2 linked regions of the Canis lupus familiaris genome follow. The protein of the gene in region 2 binds, or shares a complex with, the protein of the main gene of each other region. Links are inferred from orthologs where the notes say so. Each region holds a gene or a part of one and is shown on either strand. Other genes may lie near its edges.

The links. The genes of interacting proteins can lie anywhere in the genome.
Region 1: the proteins of LIMS1 (region 2) and RSU1 are in contact, whole or in part, in a crystal structure (PDB 7LT9), measured with the Homo sapiens proteins. The link is inferred for Canis lupus familiaris from reciprocal best matches to the Homo sapiens genes LIMS1 and RSU1. Residues at the interface, in NP_001180417.1 of Homo sapiens: Cys252, Phe253, His254, Cys255, Asn256, Leu267, Asn268, Lys269, Ser279, Thr280, Cys281, Asn282, Thr283, Glu293, Phe294, Asp295, Met296, Lys297, Cys303, Lys306, Phe307, Pro308, Glu310, Leu311, Arg314, Leu315, Lys317, Leu318, Ala319; in NP_036557.1 of Homo sapiens: Asp21, Ser23, Asp24, Gln44, Val46, Ser48, His49, Val67, Asn69, Phe71, Asn72, His90, Asn92, Met95, Glu112, Asp115, Thr117, Tyr118, Arg137, Ala138, Tyr140, Ser142, Asp143, Ile161, Ser163, Arg165, Asp166, Glu184, His186, Gln188.

What each region holds. Positions count from the first base shown.
Region 1 is NC_049223.1:19,007,316-19,010,915, forward strand, and holds the start of RSU1 (ras suppressor protein 1), read left to right. Parts: upstream 1-874; 5' UTR 875-1,033; intron 1,034-1,214; 5' UTR 1,215-1,217; coding exon 1,218-1,326; intron 1,327-3,600. UniProt on the Homo sapiens protein: Potentially plays a role in the Ras signal transduction pathway. Capable of suppressing v-Ras transformation in vitro.
Region 2 is NC_049231.1:36,276,673-36,280,617, reverse strand, and holds the start of LIMS1 (LIM and senescent cell antigen-like-containing domain protein 1), read left to right. Parts: upstream 1-1,109; 5' UTR 1,110-1,178; coding exon 1,179-1,360; intron 1,361-3,945. UniProt on the Homo sapiens protein: Within the IPP (ILK-PINCH-PARVIN) complex, binds to F-actin, promoting F-actin bundling, a process required to generate force for actin cytoskeleton reorganization and subsequent dynamic cell adhesion events such as cell spreading and migration.

The DNA of each region.
Region 1 (3,600 bases), on a different chromosome or scaffold from region 2:
CCAGCTAGGTGCTAGGAATCACTAGAACAGTGCTAGCAATCCCTAGCTGGGTGCTGGCAATCCCTAGCTGGGTGCTAGAAATCCATCTGGGTGCTAGGAATCTAGCTGGGTGCTAGCAATCCCCAGCTGGGTGCTGGCAATCCCTAGCTGGGTGCTGGCAATCCAGCTGGGTGCTAGGAATCTAGATGGGTGCTAGCAATCCCCAGCTGGGTGCTGGCAATCCCTAGCTGGGTGCTAGGAATCCCCAGCTGGGTGCTAGGAATCTAGATGGGTGCTAGCAATCCCCTGCTGGGTGCTAGGAACCCCCAGCTGGGTGCTGGCAATCCCTACCTGGGTGCTGGGAATCCAGCTGGGTGCTAGGAATCTAGCTGGGTGCCGGGAACACAGACCACTGTGCCGTTCTTGCATTCGAGCAGCTCATGATACAGCCTAAGGAACGACTGTGGGGAAGGGATCAGAGTACTGACCTCTGAACACTGAACCACAACTAAAGAGACAGGACAACGAGGAGCAACTAACTTCTCGCTTCCCGGGTTCCCAAGTTGAGCGACCACCCTCTCCCCACGGTCCCGCCCCCAGGTTCCCGCTTCCGCCCACAGCTCTCCGCGCTTCGGCGCACAAACTGCGCCTGCGCCGACGCTGGTGCGCGTGCGCCCAGCCCGGTCCTCTCGGAACGACAGCCCCGGGCGCATTCCAGGGGGACGGGCTAACCTCGGGGCGGGACGGGACGGAGCCTCGAGGCCAGGCGGCGGACGTGATTGGCCGGCCGCGGTACACGTTCCTTGTGGGCGGGGCCTCACCCTGGAGCCGCGTCTAGTGAACTGGTCTCCTAATTTGGGAACCGCCAGGCGCGGGCGGGGCGTGGAGCGCAGGGCGGCGGGCTGTGCGCCTGCGCGGAGCTCCGGGACAGGGCGCGGTCCCCGTTCCCGTTCCCGTCCGCGGTCGCTCCGAGCCGGCGCATCTGTTGCTGCTGCAGCGCGCGAGGCGGACGCCTGTGCTTCCCTCGCCCGCCGGGTCGGCGCCGCGCTCCGCGGTGAGTGTGCGGCGTGGCACCCGGGCTCGCCTCCCTGAGCGCCCGGAGCGGTGCGGACGCCCCCCGCCCCCCGCCCCCCGCCCGGGGCCAGCCCGCGCCGAGCCCCCCCAACCCCCGGCCCCCCCCAACCCAACCCCCGCCCCCGGCCGTCGCCCACCTCCTCTGTTGTCGTTTGCTCCAGAACATGTCCAAGTCCCTGAAAAAGTTGGTGGAGGAGAGCCGGGAGAAGAACCAGCCGGAAGTGGACATGAGTGACCGGGGCATCTCCAACATGCTGGACGTCAACGGCCTGTGTAAGTGCGGGGGCCGCGCCCTCCCGGGGCCTGCAGGCTGTGCGCGCTTCCCGGGGAGCCGCCGGCCGCCGGGCTCCACAGCTTCCAGGGCTCTGCACCCCTGCGTGCAACCCTCGCCCGCGGAGAGCTTAGCTCAGAAAGTTTGCAGCCGGGGACCTGGCCCGGCCCGGCTGGAAGACGAGCCTCAGAGCCCGGGGTAGGAGTCACCCAGGCAGTAGCTGGTATTTGAGAAGATTTCCCGCGCAGTTTACTGCACACCCACTCTATTTTAAATCGAAAATCACTTTTGCATCAGGCTTGTTTTCTCCTAATATAGTCACTGACCCTTGAGCAATCGCCACACAGAAGTTCCATGATTAACTCCTCTTATGGCTGCTGGAGTTTGTTAAGCATGTCTCCTCCACTCCTTGCCCTTTCCTGGCTCTTTATTCTTAGTTGAGGCTTTTGTTACCTCCTCGTGCTACTGTGATGTATCCCCTAACTTTTAGCCTCTTGCCTTCAGGTTTGCTGACCCTGTGCTTCAGTCACTGTGTTGCTTTCTAAGGTTATTTTTCTGCAACATATCTTAGCCTGTAACTCACTCCGTTAAGCCAGAGATTGCAAACTCAGATGTCTTTTGGGGCCAGCTGAGGATGGTCATGAACTTCATCGTGGGTATCCCATCTGAAGAGGGGCAGCTGCCGAACCTGCTGCGCACGTGCACACGGTTGTCACCACCTGGGGATGTTGGCCTAGTGTTGCCATAGTTGTTGTTTTCAGGAAGGCAAGAGTTTAGGTTTTTACGTGAAATTTCTTAATTTTTTACACATTGGCAACTAATTCCAGTACTGAAAAGTGCAGGTGAAATAAAACACTTCTTCAGGCCGAGTGTGGCCTCAGTTTGGACCTTCTCCCTTAAACACTTCTGGTTGTTCATTAGCAACAGTGATGCTCCAAGTTCTTTGGCGTGACATGCGGAGCCTTTGTGAATCTGGCCAAAGCCTACCTTAGTTCCTATCTCATCCATGCGTTTGTTCTTCCCGCCATACTGAACGGATTGCCCTTCTTGAACCAGGGCAGTGTCTTTCAGGTCTTTGTGCCTTAGAAGTATTGTTTTCTTCCTCTCTTTTTCCCCCAGATCCTTTTACTTATCTGTCAAGAATCAGCCCAGATGCCATCGCCCGTGTGAAAACTTCTCTTTTCGTGTCAAGCAAATAGTCATCCCCTCCTCTGTGGAGGTGGACATGCCTTGCTTCATGGCTCTGCTTACCCGGGATTGTGATCCGTTCTTAATCCAGATGTCTCTCACCCGCATTGGAGACTGGGGGGGAATGTTGCTGTGCATTACTCATAAATGCCTTCTTGGTAGTGGGCCTGGCATACAGTAGGTGCTCAGAAATGTTGGGTGGATGGAGTTGCTGAGATTCAGACCAGGATGTGACATTGGAGGAGGAGGAGAGATGTTCAGGAGATCCTAAAAGGTGATGCATTGCTTGTTTGGCATGGAGAGAGCAGAGTCAATCAAATTTACTGTGAATCCGTGGTTTGTGCCCAGGACAGATTGGGTTGGGGCTCTTGATGCATCTCTGCAAAAGGAAAGGGGTTAGAAGTCCTAGACAGTTTGCATTCGGTAACCCTTAGGAAGGTTCCTGCCGCGGAGCTTTAGCTTTTGAACCAATTAGCATGTTACCTTCTTGAGATGAGTTGGCCTCTCCCAAGTGGTGATGGCTTCTTGGTGGCAGCAGCAGAGCTGCAGGCTCTGGGGGCTGGGTTGGCAGCCGCCAGCCAGGCTGGATGTGTGCTTGCGCTGCCACTTCTGGCTCTGCCTAGGTCGAGGCGATCATGGGGCGCTCTGCTGTAATGAAGGATGGTGAGCGCAAGCAGGAGGCCTGGCTCCACTGTACTTTTGGCCCCATGGCTGTCTGCTCCTCATCTCTGCAGAGGAACTTCATAGCCTTTGGCTTTGAAGAGAATTCTTTATGTAATATTTATAAGTAAGGATTGTGGCCTGGCTATTTTGGTTCCCTTGCATTATCTCTTTGAAGCCTTGGCTTTTACTGAAGGAGAAAAGATAGCCACTTGCTTCCTGAGAAAGATGTTTCCGGTGTAATAGTAGGTGGTAAAAAGCAAGATCTTTCTTGTGTTCTCCCGGAGAAGTAGCATAAGGAAGAACAAGCCTGCTTCCTGGGTAGTTTGGAGATTGGACCTTCTGCAGCTTCTGTGGTGTGCGTAGACTCAAAGAGTGGCTGCTTTCTGCTGAAATTCCCTCTCTCCTGGACTCCTGGAGCCTGGAAG
Region 2 (3,945 bases):
CTCCAGTGATTGTGTTTAACCATTTTCTCACATGGTAGTTGACAACATAGGCTCTAGGATGAAGCTCCCTAGATTTAAATCTTGACTCTACCACGTACTTACTGGGTTATTCAGCCTCCTTGAATCTCAGTTCCTCACCTGTAAATAATACCTACCTTATAAGGGATGCAATAATGAGCATAATGCATAGCATTATTATTTATTAGTTGTTACTTGGAAGTCCCAGCTGCATTTTGTCTGTTTGTTTGCTGTTGATTTCATGGCTCTCATCTCTAGTGTTTCTTTCTTTAGTGGTCCTTGGTACCTTAATTTTGGTTAGGAGGGCACCTTGGTGCTCAGAGGACTGTTCCTGGAGAAATGTTTTGAGCCCTTGTATTGCCCATGGCCTACATCATCACCCTCCTCTTCTGCAGTACTGCTGCAAGATGACAGCAATGTGGACTGACTATAGCAGGAATGCCAGCAGCATCTTTAACCATAATAAAGACCAGGATTAGCTGAGGGTTTCTAACTAGATGCCCAACTCTTTCCTATTTCCTCGTGTCCATTCATTGAACACATCATCCAGCTCTTGCTATGTGCCAACTGCTAGGATCAATAAGAGTCAAAAGTAGCTCCAAATTCTTAGGGACTCACAGATCCTTGGTGAAAGATAGCCATGGGCATAGCTGACAAGCATGTCCTGGGCATTAAGATGTCCCCCAGTGTGTGCCAGCTGCGTTAGCCTCAGTGGGGAGCTTGTTAGAAACAATATCTGAGGGTGTTTTACAAGAACCACAGTGTTCATGTGGATAATGCCTGGTGACAGATCCCCCAGGGCATGTGGATGTTTGTTTCTCTTGGACCCTGCCAACCAGTCCTCTATTTCTGAAGCAGTGTTTACAGACACAGTCTGCCGGGAAGGCTGCTCCAGCAAAGACTGTGTCACTGCTCTGGGGAATGTTTTCTAGAGCTTCCAGAAATGCCTCAAAACTCAGGACTGGCACAGCAAGTGACTGCTTTGCTGTTAGAGCTCTTAATATGAAGGGCCAGGAGCGACCCTGGCAAACGCAGGGCTGACGTGTGTGGGAACAGTGGGAGTGACCCTGGCAGGGAAGCAGGGGAGGCCTGGATATTGTTTCTCCGTCCCCTGCCCTGCTACTCTCTGCCCCGGGCTTGGAGCTCTCAGGCACCCTGGGATGGCGTTCCCGGGCAGGGTGCACCCTTGTGTTATCCCAGAGAATGAAGAAATCCCCCAGGCAGTCCTTAACAGTGTCCACCAGGCTAATGGCAATGAAGACGAGCGGGCTGTGTCCAAATTACAGCGCAGGCACAGTGACGTAAAGGTCTACAAGGAGTTTTGTGACTTTTATGCAAAATTGTAAGTGTCTCCTCTCCTGGAAGAGGAGCTCCTATCTTCCAGATCTAGTCTGCTTGGGCTTTGAGTTCAGTAGCCATTGATAGTTTTATTTCCTCGACTCTGAGCAGGGGCATTCCAGAGTGATGGAGGGGAGGGAGGCCTATTCCAGCAGGCGGGGAGATACACCAGATGAGATGCAGAAGTAAAGGAAAATGCTGCCTTTAAAGTAATAGTAGTAATGTCTTTGTGTTCAGTAGGTTCCTCATAATAGTACATTTTCATTATGTAGTCCAAGGGGGAGGCTTAGAGTTGCTGCTGGCAGGGTTTATAATAGAAAGATTGTATACTCTTAAACTTCCCACAGATGACAAGTTGGTTGAGGGAAACAGTAAAACTGAATTACAGACTGTTGATAAAGATACACATTTTTGTTAGGTTTAACAGCAATTTGAGGTAGGCAAACTGGATTTCTTAATATTGTCTTAAGGGGATTGAATCAATAAATAAGAATGTTGTGTATTTAGCAAATATAGGTGTGTGTGTGTGTGTGTGTGTGTGTGTATATATATATGCCATATATATGCCATTAACTCTAAAAAGTCTAATTCATGTTATTAAATGAGTTTTAGCAAACAATTTTAAAAAGTAGTGCAAAGTAGTAGTTAGACTCATGGAAGATTGTTGATCTTCCGCAAAGTCATAAGCTTAGAATTAACTGCAAATCCTCAATTTGTCAATCATGAGTTAAGGGGAATTTAACTGACCTGATTCTCTATTTCCATTAATCTATTATGTGTGGTATTATAACAGATGTCCTCTGTTTTCACGACTTATAAAGAGTTCTGTTTAAATGTAATGGGGAAAAAAAAAAAAAATAAATGTAATTGGGCAATTATAATTATACTGTAACCAAAATGCTCTGTGGACTCTTAAGATGCTTTTTGGATTTACACATTTTTTTCGTTTTGATGCCAGCAAATTTGTTTTACATACTTTTAACAGTGAGACACTTGAAAAAAAGCCCAGTGATACCAAGTTTTCTGTGTATGGTTCATCTGTAGAAGTGGATTGGGTAAATCAGTTATTACTGGCCAAATGTGAAGGTTCTGTACTAAAGGCTTCTACATATATATTTCCCAACATATATATTCTTTATCATCAATACTTCTTAGCAAAAATCCTTTTTTGAAAAATTAGCCGACTAATTATAACTAGCCAGATGACAGTTGTAACTATCATTCATGACTTCTAAAATGTAACTTTTATATATAAAAACAGTTATAAACAAATGCATAGGTCACTGTAGATTCATCATCAGTCATAACAGACTACGTTTATGGTAGAGATGTTGGTAGCAGGGGAGGCTTGCACGTGGGGATGAAGGGGAACTCGACTCCTTTTGCCTCAGTTTCACTGTAAACTTAAAACTGCTCAAAAAAACAGTCAATTGAAAGAAATATATAGTGCCAGAGGGTCAAAGACAAGAAAGGAAAGTTAATGTAAACAGTTCAGTAGGTTAGTGAGATTATTAGGGGTTCTTTCCTGAAAGTTTCCTCTAATGTAGTTTCTTTTCTTATCCTGCTTGTTATTAAAAGGAATACTTCTTCAAAAATACATATTATCTCCAAAGCTAGTTTATTTTTCCTGTGTATGAGAAACTGTCTACCTATTTTCTCACTATTTCAGTATTTGAATTAGAATATAAACAGTGTTTAGTACAATGAGTAGGAAACAGGTGACAAATGCTTTGATATTAGGACTGCTTTCCACTCTTAAGGGCAGCCCAGGTGGCTCAGCGGTTTAGTGCCGCCTTTGGCCCAAGGCGTGATCCTGGAGACCTGGAATCGAGTTCCGCATCGGGTTCCCTACGTGGAGCCTGGTTCTTCCTCTGCCTGTGTCTCTGCCTCTCTGTGTCTCTCATGAATGAATGAATGAATGAATGAATGAATAAATAAATAAATAAATAATAATAAAAAGGTATTGAGGTCTGCAGAGAGCTTTTGCTTATCAATATTTACTGAAAATACAAACTAAGAACAAAATTAAATATGTATTCATTTGAGATACATAAACTCATTATGCATTTATTCATAAGTGTTAATTTTTATGAAAAATAACTCTTTCCAAAATGAAAAAAGTTTGGTGGGAAAAGTGGCATTGAATTACATATTTTCAAATCTTCATTAATGACAGTCTAAGACAGTTTCTCAGTTCTGTTTCTGCATTTATCTTAGTGTTATATGTTGCCTTAGATATATATACAAAGAAAATAGGCCTCCCACAGATGCAGGTGGAAAAAGGACCTTTTGAACCCCTAAATGGGTCACAGTGACCCCTATACTTTGAGAACTACTTGATCTAGATAATGGAGCAGGATATTCCAGAATGTCCTTCTCTTCCTGCTTTTTGAGAGTTCTGTGAAAATTATAAGGATCTGGTGAATCTTTTGAGAGGATTCAAAATTAATAATGATGCCTTTATATTTGGGTAGCATCTTCTGGCTTTCAGAGTTATATACTTTTTAAAAATTTTTTCCTCGAAACGATATTAGGGCAGGTGTTGGTTTACCATACTTCATCCAGGGACACCTGCAGATTTTGATTAGG